2 linked regions of the Mytilus edulis genome follow. The protein of the gene in region 1 purifies or fractionates together with the protein of each later gene. This does not show direct contact. Links are inferred from orthologs where the notes say so. Each region holds a gene or a part of one and is shown on either strand. Other genes may lie near its edges.

Region 1 (17,571 bases):
GTTCAGCTGTATTTCCAGCATACACACCAGAATCCACCAACAAATCGCGAAGACCGCCATCAGCCCAAAGTTTCCCGATAGAGGCTAAGAAACACGACAAGCTGTGGAAACCACCAAGTCTGAGAATATGGCGATTAACAATGTCCGGTTTGGACCATTTGACTTGTTGAGCAATTGCATAGAGTTGCTGGTCAAATATTTGAATAGCGAAATCCTGTCCAGCTTCATTAGACATGTCAAGACATTTCTTCATGGCAGTATACACTGTGACCATGTCATTCGGTTTAGAATCTATAATTGGAGGATATGCTACAACTGTAACATCGGCGCCCTTTGTAGACAAAAGACAATTGTACCCTGTCTAAAAAGGAATCTTTTGTTCATTCGTTTTTATTTCGATTGGGAACTCTATGACATCCCTCGACAAAAGTCTGGAGAACACCCATATCTGGTCAACATCATAACTTTTTATATGCATCCGATCGTCGTGGAGGTTCTGATCTACATTTTGGTTTAAGGTACGGAATAGCATCGGTCAATGATGCTGTTGTATCATCTATAGTCAACGATCTCTCAATTCCTCGCTTGATTCGTTCTAAACCATAGTCATGAACGCCAGCTGATTTATTTTGAAATACAGCCCTAGCCCATCTATTGTCTCGGCGTTAATGTCAACATTATCGGAACCCTCTTGAATCAATCGACCTCCTTCTGAAATGGGGCGAATACCTCCTGGGATGTATCGATCGCCACTGATACGACTGATCTCATGGTTTGCAACACTGGTAAGGTATCTCCGCAATTCAGTATATGTAACGCAAAACCCATGCGCGTTTAGAATTTCAATAAGACGCTTCGACCCAAACTCGTGGTAAACTTGAATAGCAAGACCAAGATGAAAAGGTGTCATGATACTACGACTAGTTGCAACAATACATTCCGTTAAAGCCAAACTTTTCCTCACGCTTTCTGTTTTGATATCAGAAGGAACAGTACAAGTGTTAAACGCCTTTTCGTCTGTAATCCAACTTAGTAGTTTGACCAAAGAATCGGGCATTGACTGTAAAGAATTATCGAATGATACCTCCGTTGAAGTTGGATAGTGCTCTTTACAAAATCTTACTTTGTTAATGTCTCTCCGTATTATACTTGCTACTGAATAAAGGAGTTGTTCATCCGTTTGTTCGTTATTCATACGACTCTTTCGTTTTTCATTTGACCATTTTAACTCTGCTTTCAAATTACTGGCTGCCTTGATTGCATCCCCTAGTGTTATATTGCTACTCATAATAATGTTGGACTTACCCTGACCTTGTTGTGATTGAATGACAACAGAATCACCATAATGGTTTTCCAAATATCGCTGCAGTTTTCTTGTTGTAAAGCTTGTACGCATATTTTCGGGTAGGTATAAAACAAACTTCTCAATTAAAGAGGATAATAGAAATGCTTTTTTATTTTTTAATAAATCATCATTTATGCTGGAGATTAATTTGGAAAAAGCAGTTGTATTTATTGATTCATATTCTGAAGTTGAATTACCAATGACCTCAATATCTTTATTTGAAGACTTTAGATATTTTACAATGCACTGGTTATGGTAAAAAACTTGTTGTTTAAAATTGTCTTGATTAATTTTATGTAGCAAATTTAAATCACCGTTATAGTTTGCAGCGATGGTAATGCGAGTAACCCTGTCATCTGATTCTATTTAAAAAAGTTTTTTGTCTTGCTTGTAGCTTTTCTTATTGCAAAATATACAAGCACTCCAGTTGGTAGGAGAAGACATAGATCGAGTTAAGATACGTGACTGGACTGTCCTGTATTGAACCGCCAGCTAATGCATCATTTTGTCTCTTAGTAAACACTGCAATATTATGTTCACTTGTATACGATTTGTAGCAACTTTTATGATAAACCATTTCAAGACTTTCATTCGGTATATCACTGAATGAATCATACTCACTTATCAAATTCATGTAAATATCATCTTTACGCTTACCAAATGCAGCAAAAAACCTCGATTTACTGTTATTAGTAAATAAAAAGTAAAAACACAAAAATACTGAACTCCGAGGAAAATTCAAAAATCAAAATCAAAAATCAAAAGGCAAAATCAAAAGTTCAAACACATCAAACGAATGGATAACAACTGTCATATTCCTGACTTGGTACAACTGTTTCATTACTGCTTTTCTGGCAAATAATACATTTTTCTAAGACTAAACTTGGTTTCATTCGCTTTGCACAACTAGGGCCACGTTTCAACGGACTTCCTTGTTATGCCATCTTTTGGGGTTTGGCCAGATCTCAATTTCTAAAAATAACTTCCAACGTAAAACCAAATGTTCCTCTTAAATGAATTAAACCTTATTAACACAACCTCAAAATAGAAAACAACAAACAAAATAAACTAAGAAACCAAGAACCTTTAACAAATACAAGTAATATCAAGTGATAATTGCTATTTAGTAATCGAACATATGGTGCGCTTGAAGTTCAAAATCAATAAGGATAACAATAATAGATCTGAGCCGTACCTGACACGACTTTCCGGAAAATTAAGTAAGATTGTAATTCGATAGTGAATATTTTGGATGCTATTTCAAGTCTTTTTGAGAAATTTTATTTGATAAAAAATTATGTCACTGAAAAGAGTATTTTCTGAATTTTCACGTTGTATAAGTTAGTTCATAATTTAAAGATTAATGCGTTCTTGCAAAGTATTGAAATCCGGTGAAGCGACGAAATGTCCAAAGTTTTAAAGCTTTGTATCTTCATATTTTTTTTACAAAAGACTTATGATGTTAGCTTTACTGCTTAATAAATAACATATTATATGTAATATTTAAATCCTATAAGAAATACATATATTTTGCAACGATTTAAAAAAACCGGCCAAAATGGCATGCCTCGTAGAGTTCATATTTTATGTCATTTTTGCTAACAAAACGACAAATTTAAAAAAACTGCACAATACGACTTTTTGACGACCAGTCTAAAATTAAATTAAAATCATTTTTCTAGATATAGACCAATTTTTAGCCGTGTACCATAAAGTGAAATTAAACTCTGTTAATAATCGACTTTTAACTGTTCCGTCACCGCACTAATAAGTTTTACAATAACCATCACTAATATGGTGTCGGAGTCTCAGCTTACTAGCGGTATTTTTCGCGGTCTTGGATTTTTTGATACCATGCAATACCGTCGTCTGGTCTGTTATTTTACCAATTTTGTCATGTTCCCTATTTTGACATTTTAATTGAGTGTAAATTCGCATAATGGGCGATACAAACATAGAGGACCACTTAACAAGACGACGCACCATGTTTCGCTTTCTAGAGTTACCGCGGTTGTTGTTCTTCATCTTGTTTCGTCTCCTCTTAATCGATTTATGAGATTTGAACATCGTTAAACAACTGTTATCATAAATAATATCAGTTTAAAGTCACCTGATACGTATGCAATTTAAAACTGACGGTTGTAGTTATAATGATAATGTTATATCTAGTGTTGTTAACGTTTAATGGGTTAACTGGTTAACTGTCGGAAGAATCGATTATCGAATACCAAAAACGCCTACCAGTTAATCGGATGTCCCCCCTCCCCCAATTCTAATAGATTTGATAAAATGGATATAGAACTCATTAATATGTTTTCAAATGACAGTCTTGCTTTATTAATTTGACAGATCTATAAAATTACACATAAAATTGCTACTATTAATTTTGCTAGTATCACTTCTAATTGCATTGACTGTTCCAATCTAGTTATAAAAACAACTAATTTTATGCGTTTTGTATAAAAATTACATTTAAGTACTATACAGTCAAAAATAGACAAGAAAATTGAAGGAAAAAAAAATTATGAATCATAAAACACACTGTTTTCCATATATTTGGTACATATACAGATCACGAAAGGAACAATCACTTTTTCTTAACTACCCTGTTCCAAGTCAGGAAAATGGCCGTTATTATATTATAGTTCGTTTCTGTGTGTGTTACATTGTAGTGTTGTGTTTCTGTTGTGTTCAAGTTCTCCTCTTATATTTGATGTGTTTCCTCAGTTTAAGTTTGTAACCCGGATTTTTTTTTCTCAATCGATTTATGAATTTCAAACAGCGGTATACTACTGTTGCCTTTATTTATTTATTTATTTACATTAAATCGCTTCTAGTTCACAACCTACTGATATTCTACTTTCTGCAATCTTGTACCCCTTGTCCTCGCAGTCAAAACCCACTTTCTACTCAACAATTCTCTGTGGCTGCCTTCGATCCAGACGTGCGTTTCGTCTACATAAGACTCATCAGTGACGCTCATATCAAAATATTTATAAAGCCAAACAATTACAAAGTTGAAGAGCATTGAGGATCCAAAATTCCAAAAAGTTGTGCCAAATACGGCTAAGGAAATCTATGCCTGGAATAAGAAAATCCTTAGTTTTTCGAAAAATTTAAACTTTTGTTTACAGGAAATTTATAAAAAAAAAATGACCACATTATTGATATTCATGTCAACACCGAAGTGAAATTATCTCTTTGGTCTTTAGAGTAGTCTGATATGTATTCCATGATATACCATAAAGCTGTTAAATAATGCTCCTGTTCTATATCTGTTTCCATATAGTCACTGCTTGTGTGTGTGGTTAATGTTATCGGTAGTACATTTGTATATTTTGTTTTTCTTCCTTTTTGATGGTTCAAATGTTTGGAAATCAAGACAAAATATATCCATCGATTTTTACGATGTTTTTTTTAAAGGCACAAGATGTATTTCCTTCTTTTAGTATATCTCGCCTTGGTGTATCCTCTCGTTTATGACTGCGGATATGGATGGCCATCTTTGTATGTCGCGCACTAAAGAACTAGAGTGTTCGCGGCCAGGATAATACATCTCACATGTAGTACTTAAAAACCACATGAACATGAGTTGCTGGTTAAACTATTTGACTGATATATCCGTCATCGATGCCTATCTCTCAGTATGATTACATTATCTATAATCGTAAGCTGATCAAAGTGTCTTTGCAATATACTAGGTGGTAGTTGTTCTTTTATCAGTTCCATATCAGACTTTACAAGTTCACAAACTGTCGAATTTCAGAATCCTACCGCTGCTACTGTTCCCAGTTAATAGAATCTACATTCTGCATATGCATTACAATGCTACTTGTATCCAACAACATACGGTGCTGATATAGCTAATTTAATGTCCTCGATGGATTCCTTAGATATAAAAACTTATAAAAAAAAATACCTGGCTCATAATTTTGTAAACTAACATATATATGGTTTTCGCATCTAGTTTATGAAATCGTGACAATGCATATGCTTCTGAGTTTTGCTTTACTGAAAAGGCAACAGTAGTATACCCCTTTTCAAAAGTCATAAATCGATTGAAAGAAAATAAATCCGGATTGCAAACAAAACCCGAGGGAGACACATCAACCACAAGAAGAAAACAACGGAACAACAGAAACACTGCACGATATAGAACGTCGATATTGCATGCAGCTAACGTTTATAGCCCCCTGTTGCCTTTCGAATCTAGATTTTCAGTGGTCAAAACATATGTGAGCGGGTTGTTATCTGTAAACACACCATAGGATTTCAAAAGACATTATGATACAAATTGCCTTTACTGTCTATTCCGAAGCCAAGTTTTAAGTATGTGGGTTGGGTTATGTCTTTAAACCATGTGCATGCAATCTTCGACGACTGAAAACGCAATGACCAGTTGCTAACCCTCAGGTTCCTGATTTAGCACTTCTTCTACTCATATACTACTAGCTTCTGTGTGCAACTAAATTGACTTCTGTTGGTTTGATCCGAGTCTTTTATCTAGTTCGTTAAATGCTGTTTCCCATGTTTCGCCCATGCCAATGATTTCTGTTGTATCTTTTTCTGATTTAATGCGTTTGTATTAAAATTACAAACGGTCTGGTTGTCTGTCAAACAATTTGTAATTCTTTTGTGCGAAGCAAAGCATATACATCTTACATGTTCGTGTTGTTCAATGAGCGAAAATCCACCTCGCGTACTGAAACCAAGTTGAACTTAACAAGGAAGGTTTATAACAGATCTATGATAGCCAATATCGAGATTGATTGACATTAGTGAGATTTATAAATGTTTTAAATGTATTATTAGACAATTCTTTCTGTAAAATTAATATAATGCTGAACAACCGACTAAATGCTTTAATTTTCATAAAGGTTTATTCTGAACTCTTAGATCAAGTATTGCTGGTATTAGATTCATTTTCATTGATCATAAATGATGTTAATTTGTCTTTTTACTGGGTAGTATCTAATATAATACAAGACGTAAGTAAATGCTCTGCAGAAACTATACTTATATTTTACATTTACAGTGACAACAATCGGCTTAGTAACATCTAAATTTATGTCTCACTCGAGTGGATGACAAACGATTTTGATTTTGTTGATATTTTAATTGGATGTTGTAGTTTTCCTTCAACCTTGATATGAACAAGCTGTGATTTGCTACTTGTTTGATACTAGGAGATCAAAAGTTCTTTAAAAAGGCATAGTCTGTAATCGGATATAATTATATAGCTCTTCTCAAGTTTCCTACGTTTATATCCTTGACTTTCAAATTTTGACTTTGAGCGTTCCTGAGCAAGGTTAATCCAGAAATAATTGCGCCTCGGACGCATAAAATTTATTTCAGAAGTCAGTGCTTCTGTACTTACAAATCTGTCTTAATTTCTCCCTTCATTGTTCATAAATGCATTTGTGAAACTTCGGTTCCAACTCATTCGTGCATTGTTTACCTTAGATAGATGTGACTACTATTATAGGTCCTTTTTGTCATATAGCTCTACAAAAGTTCGGGTGTTATACATCCTGGACTTTCAAATGTTTGGCTTTGAGTGTTCCTGGTAAAATGTAAATGCTGAAAAGCGCGTCGGACGCATAAAGTAGTTTGAGTGTTTTTTTACTTCATTTTTTAAAGGCGGATTAATTTATACTGCTATCTCGAGCTCGCATCGTGAAATAGCGGGACGTAATAGTTATTTGCTTCAATTTGATAATTTTGAGACAGATTGATAATTTATGAGTTACTGGGGATTCATTATTATTCGTTGGATACCAATTTTCCTGGATTTCCTGGGTACAGGTGAACCACGAATTTAAAAGTTCAATAAACTGGAAATATTTTATAGGGTTGTAAGCAGACATTGGCAAAACAAAGAAATCAAATATCAGGGAAAATGCAGATTCTCATCAATCCGCGAAAATTAGTACCCACGAAAATAAATGTATTCACAGTAGACTGCTTGTTAAAATAAAGATAAATATATGAGATGTATTCTGTTATTTGAAATGTTTTAAAAAACAACAAATATATTTAAGCGTTCAACTCAACTTTTTTTTAAGCCATTTAAAGATTTAAGGGGAGATAATTCTTGTATTGGGGGCATATTGTTTTACCCCTGTCCGTCCGTTCTTCTGTCTGTCCGTCCGTCCCATTGTGGGTATATAGTAATTTAGCATAACTCCTCCTACAGTTTGAATCCTAGGAAGTTTTCACTTTGGTGTCTCTTTGTACATATATATTGTGTTCAGTGTTTTACTTTTTTTATTAATATTTGCTCTTTTGGGTGACAGTTGAACTTTGTTATTTTTATGGTATATGCGGATTAATGCTATAGTTTTTTTTTTTAAATAACTCTTTGCATCTGCGGGGACATCAATTGTGTCTCTCGGACACAGAAATATCTCAAAGAAAGTCCTACATTTATTTTGTTAATAATAATACAGTTACTTCTGCAGGGCCGTAACTACATGGATGCAACTGAGGCAAATGCCTCATGCTGAAAATTAAAAAAAAATATATCAAATTGTTTTCATGGCAAGTGTCTTGCAAGAAGCAAGTTCTCTTCACTCTCTGGTGTCGCCCCTGCATGTTTCTCGGGATCCATATTTCTATTTTGCTTTTCGTTTTCAGTGTTGATGGTCTATTGTTTGTACTTATGTATCTTACTAGTATCTGTACCCAGGTTTGTATTTTGTTCATTTATTGTCCTACTTTTTGATTATAGTCTAAGTGTTGATTTTCATTAGTAAATGTGTGTTTTGGCAATGTTGCATTTCCATCGATGTCCAGAAGGTGCGAGGAAATAATTTAAGAAGATACGATGCTATTGGACACAGAAAATTGGTCGACGTTTCTTCAAGGAGAATTGAAATTTATAAAAAAAAAATATATACAAAACTGGCTCTTTTTTGTAGATAAAACTAGAAAGCTGACATGTTTAAAATTTAAATTAAAGTAAGACCACACATCTCCCGGTATAAAAATAAATTCAGTGAAAAAAACAACAATGTATTGCCATATGATCTTTTACCTTGAAGTATTAAACTTGCGTTACCTTAAGTCGTGTTCAGAAACTTTAAAATAAAATAAAGGAAATGGAATAATCGTAAACGGGACTTAATCGCACACAAAGTCAATGCATAGAAAAAATACAAATCATCAATGGTCAGGGTTTTTATTCCTGTTCTTCATCATGATAGTCGCTGGAGGGCCTTTGACAATGAAAGACTAATTAAAACCAAAAACAAGGTCAAGATGGTCCCTAGTGTCGACTTAAGCAGTACTAGTACTTGAAGTATAATACTGCACTGTCACTATATTTAAATCTAGTTATAAAAAAATATCACCAAAGTCTAAACACAATACAAGACAAAAATACAAATTCGGTATTAATGATTATGATAATTTCGAGTTTTGGTTTTTTCCTACATATCGATCTTTTTATGTTGTCCCTAAAACCTAAAAGTCTGAAATTACAACATGTACAATGAATCTATATATTATTTGCTTTCATACCAGAATATTGTCGAAAAAAATAGCTAAAAATTAATTGCGTTTCAATGTAAGAAAGAGCCCGGGAAACTCTCACAATTTTTCGCGATTATATTTTGCCTCACTTTTAAAAGAGGCTGGTTACGGCCCTGTTCTGAGTGGAGTGCGAGGGCATCACTTTGTCTAGTCGTATATTATTTCAAAACTCTATCTCATAGATTTCTTTCAATTTACAGAAAAGTTTTTTACATGTATAATTTATGCAAAATAGTAGTGCTTATTGTGGAAGTGTTGTTGTACTTGTGGAATTTGATAAAATTGCTCTCCGATATATATATTGCTATTATTTGAGTAGCTTTTTTATGTATATGGTCCAACTCGTATGGGTATGACATCTATGGTATTATGGACCATAAGCGTATGGTCATAGTTGTCTGCGTATGTATTTTTATGGTCCAACCACTGCTGCGCTCCTTGCCTTTCAATACTGGGTAAACATTGTACTTAATAAAAGTATGGACAATATTTAATTTTGGAAGCTGGAATATAAAACTTTTCAAGGCATATATGTGCCAGTGGTAATTATCAAATGTGGGTAATTAGGCCAAATCCGTTTACGGTCAACTTCTTGGTAATGAAATGGTGTACGCACTAATTTATGAAGGCACCGGCTACGATTTTATGAATACGGTATTTTCTAACAAAATGTATATATTTTTTTATCGATATATGGTATCAGCTGGTTACCGTATTAAACAATTCAGATAATTATTCAATACCGACGTCTACACCTACACCTATCCGGCCTACGGGTAACGTTTTAAAGAAGGGATTATCTCAACGACCACAGGCATTAATAATGTTTTTTTTATTATCAAATTTTAGATACTGTATAAAGCTTTTAATTTTGAATGGTTTTTTTATTTTGTCTTTAAAATTGTATTTTAAGGAATATCGACAAACAAAGTGTTTTGCATAAATTTTTTTTTATTTTCAACTATTTAATTTTTTTTTTTTTACTTTTGCTATTTTATTGTCCAGTGTATTTTTGTATGGTCAGTGAATGTATGATACTATCGGTGTCTGATTACCGGTGACAAGCGAATTCCATTTATTTAATTACACTAATAACACGGATTTCAGACAGTCTTTTTCCGAAATTGGTTTTAGATTTTTATCGTCTCACAGATGGCGCCATCGACATCCGTCAATATTCAATACATCAAATACATGAAAATAGCTGTTTGCAATTAACTAGTACAATTTAAACACCGACAGGCACATTTACAAATTAAAAACATTAGTGATGTAACATTTTGAAACAAAGAAAGTAAGTTTGTCTTTAAGATACGAATGCTATTATCATTAAAACGTTCAATCTTTACCTTCTTGATGTTTATGACATCTTACACCAAAAATATAGAATTATTGGTCTTTATTTACTTTAAATTATGAGTCTCAACTGTAAATAACTTTACTGAACTTACCTAATCCTAAAACTAGCCCTAAACTGTTTAGAAAAAAACCCTAACCATAGTGGACAGGGATCCTTTGGTAAAAGCAGCTACTGAGTACTGTCAGTGTCATGACTGTAAATTCAGAAATTATTGCATGCATTTATTATTGTCATCAATGGTAATTTTGGACTTAAATGGGATTTAATTTTTTTTGCTATATTGAGAAAAATCCTGTTTAAATTATTACACAGCTTCTGTAGCTGTTTAGTACAAGTAATCTTGATGTACAGTTCTAAAGATGCATCAAATGTTCATCTAACAAACGTTGCCAAAAAGGCAAACTCAACCCTAGGCTTCCTCAGAAGAAATTTACGATACTGCCCACAGGAATGTAAGAAAACTGCTTACATTTCCTTAAGTAAGATCTACAATGGAATATGCAGCAACAGTATGAGACCCCTACAGTATTACAGACTCAAACAAGCTAGAACGAGTACAAAGACAAGCAGCACGCTTTATAACAGGCGATTACAGAACTAGAGAAGATGGCTGCATAACAAACATGCTTACAAAATTAGAACTACAAGAGCTACAATTGAGACGCACAAGCCAAAAGCTTATATTTATGTACAAGGTGGTTGAGGGGCTGGTACCTGCTATTGATCCAGACGACTTCCTCAAATCAGCAAGACCAAGACGAAACATCACAGCTAAAAAGTTTGACAACTATCAAGCCACAAACATTGTTGAAAAACAAGTGAGGAACAATACCAGGTGTTTTGACATTCCTACTAGTAAAACACTGCAACATTCAAATTCATTCTTTGTGTCCACAATAGTAAATTGGAACCATCTAGAAGACACTATTGTTCGCGCAACAAGTGTGGAGAGCTTTAAATCTGCTCTCGCGAAACGTCTATAAATCGACGGCGCCTTCACTCTCCTTGTATAAAAGCCAGAATTGGTAGCTACAACGTACCTATACAGATACATCTGTAAAGCTGTATTTAAACTCTACTATAAAGCTGCATATAAGCTTTACATCTGTAAAGCTGTAGATAAACTGTAAATCTGTTAAGCTGTATTTAAACTGTACATCTGTAAAACTGTATATAAACTGTACAGTTTTAAAGTTGTATATAAATTGCAACTCTGTAAAAATGTACATTAACTGCACATTTGTAAATCTGTGTATAAGCTAAACATATAGTTTCTACCAGTGCATCTTGTGTGATACGATATCTATCCACATTTTATATATAGTTTTACAGATTTACAGTTTATATACAGCTTTACAGATGTACAGTTGATAAACAGCTTTACAGATGTACAGATTATATACAGCTTTACAGATGTACATTTTTAGAACTGTACATCAAGATTACTTGTTCTAAAGTAGCTGTGTATGACTATAGTATAACCCTGTCACATTTTTCGCAATAATAAAAACCTCGCAATAATTTCTGAATGTACAGCATATGTATCATAAATACATTTTTTGTAACTGCAAGTTTGTGACATTTCAGCATTTCTACTTTACTCTTGACATCATGCATAAGTATTTATTATCAGCAACATGCTACTTTAAAAAATGTTGACCTGATATTTTTCATTGCATTTTCGATAATATTCACATAATCAAGAGAAGTTATGTATGTTTATTTATATTATTATCTGCTTTAAGGTCTATTTTCTCAATTACTTTTTTTTCCCATTGTGAGAATACTTTGTTCATTTAAGGACATGTTTCATTGCATTTTTCTGTAGGCTCAGCTTGGTTTTTTTTACTCCTTGTTCTTTCAAGCTTGGTTTCTAATACATTTTAATTGTTTCCTAATCACTGAATTTATGATGTAGTAATTAGCTACAGCAGCTGCCCTCTTTTGTTCACCTTCAGTTTCTAATGGCTGCTAACCATGTCACACATCATTTTGGTCTCGTCAAATCAAAACACATTAGGGCTGGCAATATTTCAGTTTTTGAAAAAAGGAATATATTTTTTCTCATCATACTGAAGTCATATCTGAATTATGTATTATTAAACTATTTTACAGCCTCCATCATGGATGATGATGATGAGGACAAGTCTATTTCTCTCACTGGGTTTCTGTTTGGTAACATTGACACCAAAGGAGAGCTTGATGAAGATTTTCTAGATGAGGTAAGATGTATCTGCATGTAATCAGTCCACCATTCGTAAAGCAAAAGGTCATGTATATGTAGTGTTTCTGTCTGTGTTGAAAATATTAAGTGATTTTTTGTTTCTTCTTGGAACCATTTCCTTTCTCAGTAATGACTTGCTTAAGCATTTGAAGTTTGAAACAACTATTGCAGTATATGTCTCTTGTTTAGTTGTTTATCATGTAAAAATTTGCAAGATTGACTAATAAGTCTTACTCTTGTAGATACATAGTTTGTCAGTGAATTGCTATTTTAGAAATAATGGAAATTTTCCTTTTTCTTGTAGGAATCAAAGAGACATCTTGGATCCCTTGAACTTCTTGGTGGTATTGGGTCCATGGTGAAAGAGATCACTGATTCAGAAGACGGAGACAGAAGTGATTCACTAGATGGAGCAGGTAATCAAGGAATAACAGTGCTGTATTGAGTATTTGCTGTTGTCAATTAGGGATTTGCTAATTTAGTTACAATGGCTTCAAAGAGTGAAATTACATTAATTACATGAATGATTTTTGCAAACTGATAGTTCATTTACTTTGATAAATATATTTCTATCTATAAACTACTTTAGAATATCTACACATGATTGATGCTTTGATAAAAAAAAATACATTTGTAATCTGTGAGCAGCAATAAGGGGGCAATAAAACAACACAAGATATACTACCATACAGTCAGAAAAATGGATAAGTGCCAACCCAATATATATATATTTTAATGTTATAGATCTTATCTGACTTTATTTACAGTTTACACCTACATTAACACACAAGCCAGTGACACATTAGAGCATAATCTTGTTGATTCAATATAAACAGATCCTTGTGTCAATTTGCAGAAGTTTGATATAAAGTTGTAAAATGTATATTTTCAGATAACTATAGTAACAAAGCCTCTACAGCAGTGGACTACTCTGATATAAATGAGACTGTAGAAGAGGACGAAGAACAGCGATCATTTGCATTTGTTGGTTTGTATGATGTCTTTGTATATATGGTCACAATGCATGCTCTGTGGAAGTTTTTTTTTTTCAAAATCATTTGGTTGATTTATTATTGCTGTATAACACACATCTTCATATACGGTATTCACATTCCCATAAAGTGGCCTCTGTGTCCGATAGGTCTAAGTTGTTCATCTAAAATATCTACTTACCTGTCAATAACAAGTATCGGTAAAAATATTCTGAAGTCCATGAACATCATTAATTTAAATATTTATAGATTATATTTATTGTTGATACGAGATTGATTTTCTCACTTGAGCCGGGATGGGGAAACCGAGAAAAGCAATTGAATTGAGATGGCCAATGATGATCTGTTTATCGCTATTTTACCTATGGCAACATTGTCAATTTCATGTCAATTTCATTAGCAAAACCATGTGACTCCTAAGTTTCTAGCAATAATTTTCCATCTCAAGCGAGTAGCATGATATAAAAAATTATCACAAAAAAAGCTCTATGGAAAAATACACAAAATGGCGATAATACTGAGTCTTTGACTCTTAAAAATTCAATTTTATGATAGTTAGCAGGCGAAATGCACTCTAATTTTTAGTTTATCTATTGCTCTGGCATGTTTTTTCCCCGTATACAATCTGATATAAAGATTTTAAGAGTGTTAAGTATTGATTGTAAAATAAGTTTTGTACATTTATGTTAACAGTATTACATATAACTTTGGAAACTTAAATCCTTTAGTATTTCTAAAATAAAGAGTAATTGTATTTTAATTTGGTTGCTGCCATAACATTTAATTAGTAAATACCTGTATAAAGAGTTTTCAAGGGAAGTAACTGTTTATATACATGTACTGACATAAAACCTTATACACATCCATTGTTTTCAAAGAGAATTTTGCATAAAGGTCAGTAAAAGCAAGATTTTTTGATTGCTTAATGGCTAGCAGTTCCATTATAAAATAGATGAGGATACCTGTGCTTTGTTGTCTCTGAATAATTCTTTGCAAAAAGAACACTAGTATATTCAAGTTTTATCATTAATTGTATTACTATTGCTGCAGTGTTTTAAATCCTGTGGAATACCCATGAGGGTTTGGACAGTTCAATTTTTTTACATTTAGTTCAAAACTACATTTTTAATTTAAGTACTTTTATAATTACAGACTGATCAAATCAATCAATTATGTAAAAAAAAATACCTATGATTTATAAAACTGTCAAATGTTAAATTTTATCTGAACCTCAACTATTTATATCATTTATAAATGGGAATTGTGATTTGTTATTTATCATTTAATTTTCTAATTTATTTAATATAGTATATTTAAAAGACTCCAGACCAGCACTTCATACTGCCCAGTATTACCTAGTTAAATCCCCAAAAGATATTTGCAGCCATAGATAGTTTATATAAGTTGAGTTGAACCATCAAATAATGCTGTAATTTTACAGACATGTTCTTTTTTTTTTTTATAGGAAATGAAACAGGTGAATATGAAGATAAAGATTCTAGACTTATGCCACCTCCATCATGGCTGCCAAAAACTCCTAAGGCTGAGGATGAGGCTGGATTTACCTCCCCTGATAAAAACTCTGCCAACAAGTATCATACACCACTTGCTTCACTGAGACCACCAGAGTTATCCAATGTAGATGTTACTGAACTATTCCCAGAATTCAGACCAGGCCAGGTAAGATACAGATATATAGGTACCAGTGCTAAATCACTCTGAGAAGTCGAGAACTTGTCAGTCAGGTCAATCTTATTTGAAAATTATCTTTGAAATTATGCATATTAATATGTATTGAAATCAATGCTGTTTCCATCATCAAGGCTTAATTTTACAGCTTTTTCTAGAACTCTATAAAATAATGACAAACATTGCAGTTATTTTTCTAAGAGGTCAAAATAAATGCTTACTTCATTGTTATAACATATCTTATGCTATATACAGAAGGTGGATGGTGAGGTAAGAGTGTGTCATTTTCTTTGGTCTTTGGACTAAGATTGAATGCTAAGTCTCAAGTCTCTGGGTTATGTTTGTTTTAGAAGGGTTTCTGTTGACAATCACACTTTCTTATTTTGCGAAAAATAGCATTGTTGCGAACATGATTTATTCTTTAACAAATATTGTTTTTCTAAGGAAAATCGACCTTGGGAAACCCTGTAATATGTATGAAGGATTTTTTTTAAACTTACAAAAAAGGACCTGATTCATATGTTCAAAAATAATTGCATTAATAGTACAAACACATCTATGGTAACTAATGTTTTAGAAATGTACTTTTCAAGACTCCTTTGACGATTTATATGCCTCATTTTGCCAAACTTATTGTCAATTTTTACTGACCAAGACTTGAAAACAAATCTGTTCATTTCTATTTTATATATCGTAAAACTGCTTGCTTTGGGGGGTTACTGTACTGTCTTTTCTTCTCTAATTGTGGGATGTATGTTGGATTAATTTGTTTCAGTTTTCCATCGCATGCATGATAACATGTTAAATTATTTGACATATATTTGGATTTAAAAATTCCACAATATGAAGCTATTTCAGAACTCATATTGAGTGAGTCAGTTCATAATTGAAAAGTAAAATCACAAAAATACTGAGCTGAGAGGAAAATCTTAATTGGAAAGTCTATAATCACATGGCAAAATCAAATAACAAAACACATCAAAAACGAATGGACAAGAACTGTCATATTCCTGACTTGGTACATGCATCTCCAAATGTAGAAAATGGTGGATTAAACCTGGTTTTATAGCGCTAACCCTCTCACTTTGATGACAGTCTCATCAAATTCCGTTATATTTACAATGATGTGTGAACTAAACAGATATAATAAATAAAATAGTCAAAGTATAGGTACAGCAGTCATCATCGTGTAACAATTTTAAAAGGAACAATTTAACAGAACACAAAAACATCTATGTACAAACTCATTCATTGATTCGCGTGTCTGACGTCAGAAAATTTTATACGTCACATATATTTGTCGTTCAATGTACATACAAACTATTTTAAAATTTCACATAGGCAATGTTAGCATACAGGGTTAAAAAATCAAAAGTATGTAAGAATTAATTTCAGAAATAGACAGAGATTTGAAATAGTCCTAAAGTTATATAGAATTTATAAGAATCCACAAATAGTTCATTCCACTACGCGATTGAATAATTTTGAGGTTGTGGTCCAACGTTTTTTGTAATTCATATTAAAAATGTATCATAATGACATAAAATAGAACAATATTATACTGACGGGATCTTTTAAAGTACAGAGTCACGTAATAGAACCAACGAAATACAAAAAGTTATATACAAAACACACCAGCAAAAAATGAAAGACAATACAAACACACCAACGGGATGTTTAAGTACCGAGCCAACATTTAAATTGACCAGTTGGTATTGTTAGATTTAAATCTACCTTGATGCTACCTGTAAAAAATTTTATTCACCTAACCCAAAGTTTCAGCATGCTTTTTTCCTGAACTTTTTCTTACCTAGGATTCTTCTATTGAGAGATTTTTATTTTACTGTCATCGAAAATATTAGGAGTTATCAAGCCAAACAAGAATGACTATATCATATATGTTATTTTCTTGCAGTTTATTTAAAATTGCATGGCCTAAAATGCACTACATTTCATCTTAATGTTTGCATAGCCACTACTAGCAGTGTTTAATACCCTAAATAATCCAGTTGTAATATTTCACTCACTTTATGAAACATCAAAATCATATTTGAATAAACAATTTCATTTATTTTTTTACACTGATATTTGACATCTCATCCAGAATTCCAAAGTTTTTAAATAATTCCCAATTTTATTCATTTTTCACTTCTTCACCAGATTTTTTTCTAAATCCATAGTATAAATTCTGATTAACTTCCCATGATATACATCCTAATTTAACAGGTGCAGAATCTATATAATTCAGAATCTTGTAAATTTTTTTTATCATTTCCATTACTATATTCCAAATAGTTATCCTCACTTTACAAATATTTTGTAATATTTTATTTATATTTTTACTACATATCACTTGATTTTTCTATATCCACAGTAAACATTTTATTTCATTTCCTATTATAAATTTCCAAATCAAACAATATTTGAT
Region 2 (17,548 bases), on another chromosome or scaffold:
CAGGTCTAATGATCTATGAGAAAAACAACCGGGTTACCCAATCACACAACAACCACACAAGCAAGTGTCCAAATTATGGGTTCAGGTCTAATGGTCTATGAGAATAACATAGAGTATCAAAGATATATGCCAACATAACCCAACTCCCTACCGGCAATAACACGCTTTAAATTATAAGTATATTTACATCTCTTGGTGGAGGTGATGTAAAGGAATGGTCCATTCTACATTGTATGGCCAGCTTGACATCATCAGCATCAACGGTTTTCTTATTAGCATGACTGGAGTATACTCTGGCATCGTCTAATATATCAGATACATATCCTGTTAGTTAAAAAAATGCAAACCATTAACATATAAAAAATATTAACTTATATTATGTCTTACATATACATGTATATATAAAAAAAGTACCTAACTGCACATACTTCAAACAATCAATATAACTAGAACACACCCGCGAAATCGCGGGGAAAAGGAGCGTATGTAAACTGTAAAAAAAAATAAAACAGGAGAATTCCCGGAGAGGTATCAAAAGTCAAAGGTACTTGGAGACTTGGCACATTTTTTTTTTGCCCTCCCCCTTTTTTACAAATATGGATTTTTATTCTTTTTTGGTTTTTCTGTATACTATGAACATACATATATATATATATACTATAATTACCATATAAATGGTCACTGATATATATTAAACATGTTAAAAGTCACCCCAGTAAATTATAGGAATTTATAGTAAATTATAGGAATTTATAGTAAATTATAGCAAATTTATACAAATTATTCATAGTATATGTATGTAGTATACAGAAATATTTCAGTGACCGCCGTGAATAGAAAACTATTGGAATTGATAATATATATAAATAGCAAATACACTAAAGCTATAGTATACATTGTATGTATGATCATAGAATACAGAAAAACGCAAAAAAATAATTGTTCTGTCCCAAGTTCTTTTGCAAATTATGTTTAATTTCAAAACAGGCCTAAAGGGCAGCGGAAGTCTTTTATATTTCTCAAAAAGTCAGGCCAGAAACAATAAATGGACGTCTATATTTTCGTTTTCCTCCCAAAATAACCCAAACTGAAATACTTTAAGCAAGTATGATAAATGTTAGAACACACCCACGAAAGCTGGTTGAAAGCTAAGTATGTAAAGTGTTGTAGGATGAATTTTTGTAAAAAAAATTAATGTCTGGAGAGTTTCAGGAAAGGTAACTAAAGTTATAGGTACTTGGGGACAGGATCAATTGTTTTTCAACATGTTCAACCCCTTCTCCTTTTTTCCCAAAATTTCCAATTTTTTGTTTTCTATTTATTTCAATATGAACATACGTTTAGTATGTTATGAACATACATTTACATTACTATAAATAAAATGTGTTTGCTTTTAACTATCAATTCCCAGTTAACTAATCAATCCACAGCAGTCATTGATCAGGCCCGTAGCCAGGAATTTCCAAGGGAGGGTTCGTTGGACTCATGAACTCGACTTTAACAGTCACAATATGAACAAAACGTTGACTTTAACAGTGCTTATTTGATTTCAAGGGGGTTTCGAACACCCGGAACCCCCCTGGCTACGGGTATGTTGATATATTATATAGACTCTCTCTATTTAATATACAGTTATTACTTAGTGACCCCATGAATTTTTGTAAAAGAGTTTATGACTAAAGAATTTCAGAAAAGGTATCAAAAGTTTTAGGTACAAATGTACTTTGGGACATGACAATTGTTTTTCTAGCCCGGCTCCTATTTTTTTCCTCCAAAACTCCTATAATTTTTTTTCTATTGATTTCAATAATGTTACCGTTTATCTGTATATTATGAACATACATTACTATAAATAAAGTGTATTTGCTTTTTACTATCAACTCTCAATTTTCTAATCGATCCACGGCAGTCATTGACATATTATATAGACCCTCTTTATTTAATAAACTCAGTGACCGCCGTGGATAGTAAACTTGGAAATGATAGCAGATAGCAAATACACGTTATTTAGTCTTTGGTATGTACAAAGTACAGAAAAAACGCAAACCGGATGTCTAGTATGACTTAAAATTTCTTCCAATGATGGAAAAATATTCACACGCATTTTTTTTCCGTTTTTCTCCCAAAATAACCCAAACTGAATAATCATAAGAATGGATGACAAATGGGACTATAAATGGTACCTATAGGACACAGAGGCATGATGATTAATTTAGTGTGGAAGGAAGAGAAGCGACACACAAAACGAGGTCTTCTCGTTTATTAGTATATGTATTGCCTCCTCAGTCCCCAAATTTTCATATCAACTTTTTGACAATTACAATGTCAAAATGAATGTAAGAAAAAGTTTATAGTTAACACTATAGATAAAGTTGTGTGTCAGTTAGATAATGGAATATTTGCATTGGCAATCACACCACATATTCTTTTTCTTACAATTTGAGATTTCTGTAAAACATTATCTGAGGAGCCCATAACTCCTGTACACATGACAGGATCTAAATAATGATATTATATATATATATGGCCAACTACAAAATCTACAATCCTATCAAGTTCGTGAGCTTTCTGTCAAACAGTCTCCAGGAGTTACTTAGAGTACCCAAGATGCCATTGCTTTAATTACAGCATGTACAATACAATAAGAAAATGGTCAAATTTCCACAATTCCCATATTTTTTTTTAAACCAATATAATGTATAGCAGGGTCAAGGGAATGTGAGGAAAATTTATTGGAATTTACTGTCATGTACATTGAATGCAAGCTTTCTATCAAGCTGTCAGTTTATTTTGAAAATGGGACTAAAGGAGAGACATGTACAGTGACCATAAAATTATCCTTCACAGTGCTACTCACATTTGCACCGACAGAAAACTTTTAACTGGAAATGCATTTCACCAAAATTCAAACTGAATGTGATCTGCATTTTATGTTTCATAATATCATGAATATTGTTTTAAAATCTGAATAGATTTTGGTAAGTATTCATTTCATTATCACCTTATCAAAATTTAAAGGTCCAAATCTAAGTGTTATAACTCATTAACAGTAAACATTCAGGGATACTGCTAGAACAAGTGATTTAATTATCACTCATTTCAGTCATTGGTCGATACATCATTTTTTTTTAATGAATTTCTTTTTTCATTTGCACATGATTGTCATACATGTAGTACAAAATGTAAGTTATAAAGCTTAAATAGTTTGATACATTGAAGAATATAATTGCAAGACAAAGGTTGCTCTCATACATGTATGTCAAAGATAATGATACATATTTTTAATTTATACAACATATGGTTTCTGTTTTTTTTTTTCTGATGACAATAAAGGAGTCTAGGGGTTCCAGCAGATCTCTGTCCTACTTCAAATATTTTTAATCAATCAATTTTTTTCTATTTACATGTACATGATGTACATGATTTAAATTTTAAAAAAATTAAAGAACCTTAGTGCTCACATACCCCACGTCCCCACATTGTCATTGGAGAAATTAAATAAGTTTAAGAAAAAAAAATTGTATAAGAAAAAATACTGAATAATAATTTCCTGTCAATATACACATCTACATAGTATGTCCTCATTATCTACAAAATTTCATGAAATTCTGTTGTGTGTTTTCAAAGGAGTTGAGATGACAAACTGTTGCAGAAGTACATTGAAGCAAATAAGTTCAAAGGGGCATAACTCCTAGAAAAAAAATTGAATCGTAATTTCCTGTTGATATGCACAGGAAATAATTCGTAAATATAACTCAACATGCAGACATCTTATACGTTCAGGTATTTCACATCCAAAATTTTATGGAAATATTCTTTATAAAGCACAAAAATGTCAGTATTCTCCTCAGAAACTAACAAAACCTTTAAATAGACTTATTAAAAGGGGATATAGTTACGATACTGTTGTCAGGTCATTAAAGATTGCATATTTTGGCTTTAACATTGATTCACTGATAGGGTCTTTGCATCGGAACTAAACACATTTATTTCTAAAAAAACAGTTGTTGGCATGACACGGGTTATGTTCTTCTCATATATTTTATGATAGTATGATACTAAACCCCTAACGGGAGGGATTGTACCTGATATTCATATGATGAAGACATAATCTTTCAATCAGTTTAATTGAGGTCTGGAGCTGGCATGTCAGTTAACTGCTAGTAGTCTGTTGTTATTTATGTATTATTGTCATTTTATTTATTTTCTTTTGTTACATCTTTTGACATCAGACTCGGACTTCTCTTGAACTGAATTTTAATGTGCGTATTGTTATTCTTTTACTTTTCTACATTGGCTAGAGGTATAGGGGGAGGGTTGAGATCTCATAAACATGTTTAACCCCGCCGCAATTTTGCGCCTGTCCCAAGTCAGGAGCCTCTGGCCTTTGTTAGTCTTGTATGATTTTAAATTTTAGTTTCTTGTGTATAATTCGGAGTTTAGTATGACGTCCATTATCACTGTACTATTATGCATATTTTAGGGGCCAGCTGAAGGACACCTACGGGTGCGGGAATTCTCGCTACATTGAAGACCCATTGGTTGCCTTCGGCTGTTGTTTGCTCTATGGTCGGGTGGTTGTCGCTTTGACATATTCACCATTTCCTTTCTCAATTTTACATCTACGTAGTATGTCCTTATTATCTACAAAGTTTCATGAAATTCTGTGGTGTGGTTTCAGAGGAGTTGAGATGACAAACTGTTGAAGTAGTACCTTAAAGCAAATAAGTTCAAAGAGGTGCAACTCCTAGAAAAAAAATTGAATCGTGATTTCCTGTCGATATGCACAACTACATAATATGTCCTTTTCATATAAAAAGATTTCGTGAAATTCTGTTGTGTGGTTTGAGAGGAGTTGCGGAGACAAACTGTTACAGTAGTACATTAAAGTAAATAAGTTCAAAGGGGTGTAGCTCCTAGAAAAAAAATGTAATCGCAATTTCCCGTCGATATGCACAACTACATAGTATGTCCTTATTATCTGAAAAGGTTTCGTAAAATTCTGTTGTGTGGTTTGAGAGGAGTTGTGATGACAAGAAACAGGACTGACGGACGGACGGGTCAAAAACATTATACCCTCCGCAACTTCGTTGCGTGGGGTATAATAACTTTTTAGAGTTATCATGTTGGTTTGTTCCAATGATAATTTGCTTCTAAATATTATTATGATATGTTGACCTTTATGACAAAATTTAATCCATTTAGCATTATTATTTGTAATTTTGCTAACTGTCTCACAGAGATTTATCTGGAGAACAATTGTACTCAAAAATCTAGAAAATTTAGGAACAGGCACTTCATTCTGGTTATAACAATTTCAAAACCTTTTATCATGGCATTATAAAGTAGGTATTTTGGCTGTTAACCAGATGTCCATGTCCATGTATGAATGTGAATCAGTAGGTATTTTGGCTGTTAACCAGATGTCCATGTCCATGTATGAATGTGAATCAGTCTTAAAAAAATATATATTTCATAACATTATTAATTTACTTTATATTAACTGTATTGTCTTCTTAGTTTGAATTTTCATTGATGCAATGTATGTAGTAAGGGAGATAACTTGTGTATTCGAAAATAGTTTAGCCAGGGAGATAAATTTGAAAAGCCTCAGCTATGATATCAGCAATAATTATTTTGCTGTTTATAGTACATGTGTATAGTATTATTGTCAGGTTTTTTTAATTTTGTTTGTTATTTAATGTTCATGCTGTATTTGAAAAAAGATCCATTGTTTGGCCTCTATGAATAATTTCAATGAACTCAAACATTTCAGATATTGGCACTACATGTATGTATAAAATGTATTTCAATTTATACATGTTTACCAAGACATATAAATGGCCCTAAATTTGAATGTTGCTCCTAATTATATTTCATTGCCCTTCTTAAAATGTATACATGTATTGATAGTTAACAGGTATTTTGTTGTCTTTATAGAGATGCAATTCTGATTTAATGCAATGAAGATTACTCAAACACCATCAAATGTCCTACTATTTTTTTTAAGTAAAGAAATCTCTGTATTACTGAAAAAATTTACAGCAGGGTTTTAGGTATCACAAACTTGTCAAAGCATTTACTAAATTGTATCATCAGTACAAGGACATCATTCATAAACATAAATCAACATGCAGGCATGTTATACGTTCAAGTATTTCACATCCAATCTTTTATGGTACAATGTACTATTCAATACAAAGCACAAAATTGTCAGCATTCACCCATAAAGCTAACCAAAAGACTTATTCAGAAGGGATATAGTTATGATACTGTACATATTGTCAGGTCATTAGAGATGGCATATTTTGGTATTGATATTTATTCATTCATAAGGTCTTTGCATAGTAAATAAACAAATTTACTGGTTTTCTAACACCAGCTTTTAGCATGATACAGGTTTTTATGCCCCACCTACGATAGTAGAGTGGCATTATGTTTTCTGGTCTGTGCATCTGTTCGTCTGTCTGTCTGTTCGTTCGTCCGTCTGTTCGTTCGTCCGTCTGTCTCGCTTCAGGTTAAAGTTTTTGGTCAAGTTAGTTTTTAATGAAGTTGAAGTTCAATCAACTTGAAACTTAGTACACATGTTCCTTATGATATGATCTTTCTAATTTTAAAGCCAAATTAAACTTTTGACCCCAATTTCACGCTCCACTGAACATAGAAAACGAAAGTGCATGTTTCAGGTTAAAGTTTTTGGTCAAGGTAGTTTTTGATGAAGTTGAAGTCCAATCAACTTGAAACTTAGTACACATGTTCCCTATGATATTATCTTTCTAATTTTAATGCCTAATTATATTTTTTATCCAATTTCTTGGTCCATTGAACATGGAAAATGATAGTGCTAGTGTGCGTGCGTACACGTGGCATCGGTGTACTCTGGACACATTCTTGTTTCCTATATTTTATGATATGATACTCAACACCTTACGGGAGGGATTTTGCTTGATTTCATATGATTAAGAAATATAATCAGTTAAATTGAAGTCTGGAGCTGGCATATCACATTGTCAGTAACTGCTGTAAGTGCTTTGTTAATCTGCATCTTCAATGCTATGTTTATTTTTTGCCTATATGTCTGACATTGGACTCAAACCTCTCTGGGACTTAGTTTTACTAAGCGTATCTGGCATATTGCTGTGTGTTAGTTTATTCTACATTGTCTAGCTATATATAGATGTATAGGAAGAGGATTGATATATCACAACATTCTTTTTTATATTAATCATACATCTTTTTTTTATTCCTGATCAAAGTCAATAACCCCTCAATATATTAATGGCTAATTCATTTATGAGAGGTACATTTCAAGTGATAGAATTTTGTAATATTCATGGACTTATTTCTTTTTTATTATTAAAAACAAGTGGACTCCTCTTCAACATGTTCAAGGGTGGTAATGTGGGTACCTTCATGAGGCCAAACAAAAATATATCTCTGTTTACGGTTACCTGACCGACTCTAATTTTAGCGCTGACCCTATGCCATTTTATTTCCGACGTAAAGTGAAAAATTAATAGAACTTGAGTCAATAGCGACGTAAGGGGTGCCAATAAATTTAATCAATTGCCTGATACATCCAAATGTTCACAATCATGAATATGACAGCTGTTTTAAGGAAACTCACAACTTATGAAATGAAATAAAAACTTTGCCACTATTTTTTTCCAACCAATAACCAAGGGAAATAATCCAATCATTAAAAATACGGATTAACTCAGCCCATGGACAACTCGGACCACACAACTCAAAATCATGGCGTAAAAAATTAAATGGAAAAAAATAATAAAATCGAAATACCGACCTACCTACCCTATTAATTTTGATGATGTAACCTAAAGTCATATATTTTTTTTTGGCCTGATTAAAAAATTCTTGCTAGATGACCTTTAACGGTAATTTTTGTTGCATGACAATAAAATATGCACTTTCTTACACTGGTGTCATCTTTTTCTGTATTCTTTTTTTTAATACAAACTTTAACACCTCTTATTTTATTTTATTTATTCAATTATCCATTTGTTCTATACTTTATTTTTAAATTTAAAGACATTTTCTCTATTCTGTAGAATATACATACATGTACCATACACTAATTTATATTCTTCTACATATATAAAATACTGACATAACAAAATAAAATACTGTTGTATTGATAAAGTTGGTATTTGGTCTTGTTGGTCATACCGGAAACCGTAAATACAGATCAGCTGATAGTGGGAACCTGACGATTTGAATGAGTTACTTGCAAACAACCTCTGTGTCTAGACGTATACTTAGAACTAGAAACCTGATGGATAACCTAGTTGGTTGAATACTCCCGACTAAAAGGTAACTCGTATACATGTATATATATATCACACATATTCATTCATTCACCATTTGCCCATTTACAACAATACACATGTTGTTTTGTTTTATGTATATAAACCCTAGATGCAATAACTTACTTAGTATTACATTTTAGATGATGTAATGTTCAGGCTGAGTGCATAAGGAATTTAAATTGAACATTGTTTAAATTTTGGTAGAAGAAATAAAGACTCTAGCTGGTTCCAAAGTTTGCTCCAAGTTTTCAAAACTGGCGACAAATAAGGAGCTGGTGATTTTTCTGGCTCAAACTTTTTGGGAGCCAAAGCAGCACCTGAGCATCACCCCTCCATGCATGCTTTGGCATTGTTTTAAGATAAAAAGATAAAAAGCTATTTTATGGGGGCCCGGGATTATTTTTCTACAACAGCAAAATGCCCCCTTGTCTGTGGAAGGAATGGGACAGGCCTTCATTTACAAGTGCATTTAAATTTGGGAAATGTTCCTGTGTATGTGGTTATTTAAATGCACATCTCGCTTATAAAATGTATAAGTAGGCGTCCCAAAAAAAAAAAAAAAATAGCCTTGCCAGACGTCATAATTATTTGGACTAGCTTATAAGCAGCTGTGGCAGCTAATGTGGTTATTTTGGATACATTCTTATGTAATTGACGAAGCCGATATAGCATGATCATAGCAAAAATTGAATGTAGAACCACACAACAAAAAACATTTTCAAGCAAAATAAAGAATGGTAAAAAATTACTGTAAACAAATTCAAGCATTTGATTAATGACTCGTGGCTCATGTTCAGTAACACCAAGATCTTTCAAAATAGCAGTCATAATTTGAGCATCTCTCGGCAAACTTTTTGCTGGAGCGGCCATTTTTGATATAGTGTAAACTAAATAAAAAAATCGGTTGCGGATTTATTTCCGGGTTACATCCAATTCAAGTTTTTCTTTATAAATAATTCGGTACCACGATTTCCCGAGAAATACAAAAAAAAAACACCAACATTATACCCCCAAAACAAACTGATATATCCCGAGAAAAAGATTTTTTATGGTGTTATGCTACTTTTTATTGTTTTATACTACTTTTAACAATATTAAAGAATATTAATTAAAGATATTACTCATTTTTTTTCTCAATAAAAGTGTAATTTCATTTAAAAAAAAATCGATTTGTATGTCTTGTATGCAAAATCCTTGTTGAACACAATATGGCGGACATTCTAAAGGTAGACAACTTAAGTTTTAAAAGAACTGGAAGAATAGAAAAGTATCATAAGTACTGAAAGAATAGATTCAATTAAAAAAATGAAATTATAAAAAGTTAATACAACGTTATCATAACTTCATTCGGGTATTTAAGCTTACCGAATAATTTCTTTTATTTTACATTCATATGAAAAACTGATTGTTGTTAAAAATATCGTTATTGTTAATGAAATGAATTATGATTCGTCAAAGTTTTTAACTGAAATAACATGTTTCCAAATTTTAGTAATTATATTATTTTCTTATGAAAGATTAAATGCGGTTATTACTGTACAATTTTCTCTAAATATCTCCTTTTAAACTAAAGCTTGGTGTTGTTTTAATACAAAATACAAAATTTTCTCAAATTTTGTTCATAAAAAAAAATATGAAGACAATGGCTTGGTATTATTTTAGTAACATTTGCATATAACAAGTAATTTACGATTTTCTTCCAAAATGTCAGAGGAAATGAAATATCCGTGTATAAAATGTACTGATGTACTGATGATTGTGTCATTGCAATAACTAAAAACTGACCTGTGATGACTTTACGGGTTTTTATGTCTTTATAATATATACTTTTAGCTGTATATAAACTTTAAAGCATATATCAATGTGCTATGATATGTGCTATGAAACGATTTTTAAACTTTTCAATCACAAAGAACAATATGACCAACTCTTCACGGTCAAGCCTGCCGGTCCCAAGCCCGGATAAAAGAGGAGGATAGTCATACAAAACAAATATTGCAAAAGCGCAAATGTCCTATGTACAAAGCGCAAATGTGCGTTTTTAAAAAGCGCAAATGTCCTATAATTTGAAGCGCAAGTGTCCAAAATAAAAAGCACAAATCATACTATGAAAAAGCGCAAACGTCCCGCACCGATCCACTTATGACATGTATATTCTAAAGCCTAGAGATAAGATAATTAATTCATTTCCAATTGAGGTCCATAACATTTTAATACTATTAATTACAGTCTGTATTACAAAAAAATCACACAGGAGGTTCAAGCAATGACAAACAAATAAATTTATAATTATAATACATTAGAAAGCATCATTCAAAAAACAAAAACAAAGACCTGTCCAGAGACATAATAACAATGAATAAACTTTATTTAAATATGTATCTGTATCTGTATTTACTTTGGATAAAGAACTGACTGGATGTGAAAGTGACTATTTAATTGCAAATCTGTATATACCACCACACAACTCATCCTTTTACAGGATTCATAAATGGGATTTATTTTATGAGCTTGAGTCTCAAATGATACATTACTCAGCTGAATGTCCAAATATTTTTGTTATTGGCGATTGAAATGCTAGAACAGCTAATATGAATGATTATGTACAAAATGATAAATTACATGATAGTATTTTAGATAGGGTTGGTGATCTGTTTACATATGTTGCTGATGAGGCTTTTTCTTGCCGTAATAACCCAGATGCAGGAACCAACGACTATGGAACAAAACTACTTAACTTGTGTAAGAGCAGTGGACTTAGAATTATAAATGGGCGCCACCCTGATGGACTATCGAATGATTTTACATACAGTGGTCCAGGAGGTATGAGTGTGATCGACTACTTATTAGCTAAGCCAAATAACATTGAAAAAGTTTTAAAATTTATTACAAGTAATGTTACTACATACAGTGACCATGCTCCCATACATGTTCTATTAAATATAAAAAAAGAAGATGTGGTATGATTGCCAATGAGACTACTATCCACAAAAGACCAAAATGATAAAAACTGACTTTTCTATGCATTGCAATGATGTAAATTCAAATTTAATGGATGGTGAAGAATCCAAATTTTGATAAATGAGACATGGGTCTATAATGGTCAAACAATGGACATTGTGGATCAATTTTGTTATTTAGGTGTTTTAACACCCTAGAATTGTAAATTTCTTACTACACAGAAACATTGTGCAGAACAAGGTAGAAAAGCTATGTTCAGTATGAGGAGAACTACATCATCATTATGTTTAAAGGTATTTACAATGCTTAGTCTATTTGATACTTATGTTAGTAGTATATTAAAGTCATAAGAAACCTCAAATCAAAAAAAAATAATGCATATGATTTTTATAACTCAATGGATAGTTTTCATTATAAAACTTATGTACATATACTTTTTTCTGAAGAAAATTCTTTAATTTATTCATATTTAGAAGAAGTTTACTTTATTTGAATAGCTTCCTTCCAGCAAGCTATTCCCCCGACATATTTTCCGTATGCAAGGTGACCTCAGTGTGACCCATCTCGTAAAAATCCGGTGACCACAATACGCATGGATGTCCTTAAAATAAACTATTATCTGAATTTACATGTTAAACACGTGCTCAATTTCCATGCTTTTTTGTTTATTTTTCATTTCCAATTGAGGTCCATAACATTTTAATACTATTAATTACAGTTTGTATTACAAAAAAATCACACAGGAGGTTCAAGCAATGACAAACAAATAAATTTATAATTATAATACATTAGAAAGCATCATTCAAAAAACAAAAACAAAGACCTGTCCAGAGACATAATAACAATGAATAAACTTTATTTAAATATGTATCTGTATCTGTATTTACTTTGGATAAAGAACTGACTGGATGTGAAAGTGACTATTTAATTGCAAATCTGTATATACCACCACACAACTCATCCTTTTACAGGATTCATAAATGGGATTTATTTTATGAGCTTGAGTCTCAAATGATACATTACTCAGCTGAATGTCCAAATATTTTTGTTATTGGCGATTGAAATGCTAGAACAGCTAATATGAATGATTATGTACAAAATGATAAATTACATGATAGTATTTTAGATAGGGTTGGTGATCTGTTTACATATGTTGCTGATGAGGCTTTTTCTTGCCGTAATAACCCAGATGCAGGAACCAACGACTATGGAACAAAACTACTTAACTTGTGTAAGAGCAGTGGACTTAGAATTATAAATGGGCGCCACCCTGATGGACTATCGAATGATTTTACATACAGTGGTCCAGGAGGTATGAGTGTGATCGACTACTTATTAGCTAAGCCAAATAACATTGAAAAAGTTTTAAAATTTATTACAAGTAATGTTACTACATACAGTGACCATGCTCCCATACATGTTCTATTAAATATAAAAAAAGAAGATGTGGTATGATTGCCAATGAGACTACTATCCACAAAAGACCAAAATGATAAAAACTGACTTTTCTATGCATTGCAATGATGTAAATTCAAATTTAATGGATGGTGAAGAATCCAAATTTTGATAAATGAGACATGGGTCTATAATGGTCAAACAATGGACATTGTGGATCAATTTTGTTATTTAGGTGTTTTAACACCCTAGAATTGTAAATTTCTTACTACACAGAAACATTGTGCAGAACAAGGTAGAAAAGCTATGTTCAGTATGAGGAGAACTACATCATCATTATGTTTAAAGGTATTTACAATGCTTAGTCTATTTGATACTTATGTTAGTAGTATATTAAAGTCATAAGAAACCTCAAATCAAAAAAAAATAATGCATATGATTTTTATAACTCAATGGATAGTTTTCATTATAAAACTTATGTACATATACTTTTTTCTGAAGAAAATTCTTTAATTTATTCATATTTAGAAGAAGTTTACTTTATTTGAATAGCTTCCTTCCAGCAAGCTATTCCCCCGACATATTTTCCGTATGCAAGGTGACCTCAGTGTGACCCATCTCGTAAAAATCCGGTGACCACAATACGCATGGATGTCCTTAAAATAAACTATTATCTGAATTTACATGTTAAACACGTGCTCAATTTCCATGCTTTTTTGTTTATTTTTCGTCAATTGTTGACATACAGGTGACAATCGTTACACTTCGGCTTCAAAACACGAACTTTAATTACCTGCCATATTTTCACAACAACACTGACCGATTGAGAAAAAAAATTGACAATTATACGAAATTTACACGAAAAAAATGATAAATTCGAGCACAGAAGACGAAGTTTAGGATGTTTGTATGCATTAGTTCAAGAATTGGACGAACATTATTTTTCACCGGTCACTCGTTTCTTATGACTTTAATGTATTGGTGTGAGATATGGGGAGTACACAAGTCTCTTATGGTAGAAAAGGTCCATTTGGATTACTGCAAAATGTTGTGTCAAAATACCTCAAATGTGATGGTCTATTTTGAATTAGGTAGATTTCCACTGCAGTATGAGCGTAATTAAAGAATACTTAAATTTGGTTCAAAATTTTAATTAGTGACAACTGTATATTAAGGTCTTGTAATAGAGAACTTGTGTTAAATTGTTCAAAATGTATGAATTGGGTAACATATGTAAAAAGATTGATATATAGTCTTGGAATGAATAATTTGTGGGATAATCAGTGGTTGTTAAATGTAGAAAAGCTCATATTTACCTTTGATAAGACAGCGTTTGTTTGATAAGCCAACCAAGAGTTACAATTTTTATTAGATTCCTCTGCAAAGTGTAGATTATATAAGTATGTGGTTTTATTTACAGAAATGCATTCCTGTACTTTTTCGTAAATGTATAACAAGGATTCGTTTGTCTTCACATAATCTTTGTATTGAAACTGGACGTTATGTTGGTACTAATAGAAATGAAAGATATTGTACTGGTCTTTTTGTTATTTAGGAGTATTAATAGAGGATGAATTTCATTTCTTCCTCAAATGTAGTATATATATACTGATTTGCGAAAAAAATATATAAAAAAATATTACTGGTCTATGCCTTCAACTTTTAAATTAATAGAATTATTGTCAGGTGAAAACACAAAACAGCTTTGTAACTTAGGAAAGTATATACATTTCTCTTTTAAATTAAGAAACAGTTTATTGTAATAAAAGATATTTTGTATTGATTAAACTTCTGACGTCACCTATTGTTTATTATGCATATTGTTTATATTGTGTGTAATATGCCATACATATGTATACACTGTACATGTACTTATTTATACTGATGAGCCGTAAGGATCAAAGTTAATAAAGAATTTAATAAATAATTTTCGCGGACTTCATAAAGTATGCCCGTGCCTTGTGCAGGGTACGTTTGTAGTTTTAAAATTTCTTAAATAAAATAATTTTCACAAAATAAAGAGGAATCAAACTCATGGATGTAAAGAATTCTATATTTGAAATAAAAGTATGACAAAAATGTTAAAGAGATATAACGTCTGTCATATTGTTTTTAACAAGGAATTTGCATTCAAGACATAAAAAAAAAGATTTTCTGAAGGTTGCGTGTACTTTTATTAATAACGAACGCCTTAAACCTGATTATTGTATGCTGTAACACGAATTTAACCAGTATATCACCTATAACACCATTAAAAATCTTTTTCTCGGGATATATCAGTTTGTTTTGGGAATATAACGTTTTTCTCGTATTTCTCGGGAAATCGTGGTACCATTAATTATTGGCTTTTTTCTTACAAGACTTGAATATGGCAAACCGTATTACTATTTATTAGAATTTCAAGATAGCTTATATAATATATAAGATTTCTTAATTATACTAATTATATGAAATATCTTAAATAATTTATTAGATATCTTATATATCATATCGTATATAGTATATATATCTTATCATAGTATCTCAGTAAATACGATATCTTATAATAGTATCAAATATATCGTATATACTTTATAAGATATCTCATATATATTATAATACATATTGCTGACTTGAACCAACTACCTGAAAGTGCCATGGATCCAATTTCTAATGTAACTTTGGATAATAACATTTAACCCTGTACAGTTGTCACAAGTTACAAACATCACAAAATGTTATTTGTTTTCGTTCTTATAAATACAAGTGTGTTTTTTGTTTACAGTATTTTTAACTTGTCGTGCACTGGTTAATAACTGTGGACACAAAGAATGAGTTTGAGTATTGCTAAGTTTTACTGGTGGGAATGTCAAAGCACCTAGTATTGTTCCTCACACGTTTTTCCACTATGTTTGTTGCCCTGTTATTTTCAAACATTTTCGCTGTGATGGTTCGTCTTGGTATGGCTGATTTTTAAAAAGTCGTCTGGATCGATAGCAGGTACCAATCCCTCAACCACCTTGTACAAAAATATAATTTTTGGCTAGTGCGTCTGGCTTTTAGTTCTTGAAGTTCCAGTTTGGCGAGCATGTCTGTACTGGCCTGACCAGTGAGTGTAACCAAGACGACTGGGTTTAGGTGTCAGACCACCAATTAAAAATCCCTATCTGTTCAACCAAATTTTGCAATTTTCACAGCTTTCTAAATATTTTACCTTAAGTTTAACTTCATAGAAACCAGGTATATCCTTAATTGTACATGTATCAGCTTTCTACATGCCAATTCTCACCATACCTTTAAAGCCTTCTAACAAAGTAACTGACTATCAAACAGAGGTACTCCAAAACAAAAACCTGGTTTTCTTGAAATCTAAAATTAGTATACTATGGAGCGCATTAATCCTCAATTTTTAATGCAAAGTCATAGACAAGTAAATTTTGGCTCAAAATGATCTAGATATATTTCTCTTTCACCAAAAGTTTCATTTCTGCAAAGTTGTTGGTTACTAGTTTAAGTAAACAAGGACATCAAAAGCACTATTTTGTGTCAGAGTAGGGCTACTTTTACGTTCTACATTGGAGGGAGTAATTGGTGGTCTGACACCTTTAAGTAAAGATAAAACAATCAGGAGCTGACTTTTATTTCACTACCAATCCAAATGGTGAAAAACTGAAAATAGAAATATAAATACAATTTTACAATGTGTTCAATGATAATTAAAGTCCATTAAAAATACGGATAGAGAGTTCGTAGATATATAAAGCTGTTAAAGTTCTTTATAATAATAAAAATATGAATATTCTTGCACACGTCGGGTTCTGTCTTGAATTAAATCGTGTAATCGCAGATACGAACAGTTTGAACGGTAAAATGTTCATAGTTTCTGTATAACATAGAGAAATATATTAAAACAGTTCATCGCTAATGTGAAGACATAATTTGTAATGTTTTAAAGGTAACTAACGCTGTGGTTAGCCACGAATTGTTCTTTTGGACGTGTCCGCTGAATGTTCTTTGCAGTTGTGCACACGACTCACTGAGCAGTTTACGTCATTAGAAGAGAGGGGAAAGTAACGCGGATTCCTACACTGTCCTTTATAAAACTCCTAAAACTGGCGCACATAAAGCGATGTACGCAATGAAACGTTAAAAATATAAAATGATGATCACATGAAGAATAAATAATGAATGAATTTGCAGAACACTCCCCGTCTGAGGTCTATCTGACATCACTATTCCATTATCAAAAACAAATAAAATGCTATATATATATATATATAACAACAGTCCAAAGTTTTACTTTGAAGTAGTCCAACGGGAGGCTGAGTATTTCACAGCTTCTATCCTAGATAAGGCGGTGTTTCCGACGAGATCGCGGCGATCTAAGATCCAACTCCATGGCTGTAGTTCTAATTGAAGAATTTCCTTTCGACACGGATATGCGATCCAACGAGGACGTCTTGCAAGACGGACGCTTTCCCTTTACGTTTACGGCATACAGTAAACCATCCGGTGCCATGTTCCTTTTCTCTGTGACTTAAGTTGGAATTGTCTATTCTGCTTTCCTCTTGTCCTTGCGTATCCAAAAGCGAATTGAAGCTTTCCTTGGGAATTGAATGTTTTCGGATGTACTTTTCTTTGTTGGCATTCACTTTTGGTGGCGTTGCTTCCGAAGTGAACTTTTCGGCTTCTGCAAATCTGACGATAGAAGTCGTTTTCGGTTGCCCATGTAAACGGGGATAATGTTTTCAGAACGAATCAGTTTGAATGTCATTTAGTTGGGTGTTGGTTTTATTACGCTCAGGTAATTTCTTTGTATGTGGTTTCACAACACTGCGAGTTGGATTTGTTTCCTTTGTAGTGAGTTCAAGGTGAACATGTTGCTT

The links.
Region 2: the proteins of transcription initiation factor TFIID subunit 1-like (region 1) and transcription initiation factor TFIID subunit 9-like purify together in Drosophila melanogaster (affinity purification with western blotting; 3 studies listed by BioGRID, with this or other methods). This does not show direct contact. The link is inferred for Mytilus edulis from reciprocal best matches to the Drosophila melanogaster genes Taf1 and Taf9.

Annotation. Positions count from the first base shown.
Region 1 is NC_092351.1:17,066,355-17,083,925, reverse strand, and holds the start of transcription initiation factor TFIID subunit 1-like, read left to right. Parts: upstream 1-10,004; 5' UTR 10,005-10,172; intron 10,173-12,353; 5' UTR 12,354-12,361; coding exon 12,362-12,460; intron 12,461-12,766; coding exon 12,767-12,878; intron 12,879-13,354; coding exon 13,355-13,450; intron 13,451-14,919; coding exon 14,920-15,134; intron 15,135-17,571. UniProt on the Drosophila melanogaster protein: TFIID is a multimeric protein complex that plays a central role in mediating promoter responses to various activators and repressors. Largest component and core scaffold of the complex.
Region 2 is NC_092346.1:100,408,093-100,425,640, forward strand, and holds the start of transcription initiation factor TFIID subunit 9-like, read right to left. Parts: upstream 9,228-17,548; 5' UTR 9,198-9,227; coding exon 9,077-9,197; intron 325-9,076; coding exon 188-324; intron 1-187. UniProt on the Drosophila melanogaster protein: TFIID is a multimeric protein complex that plays a central role in mediating promoter responses to various activators and repressors.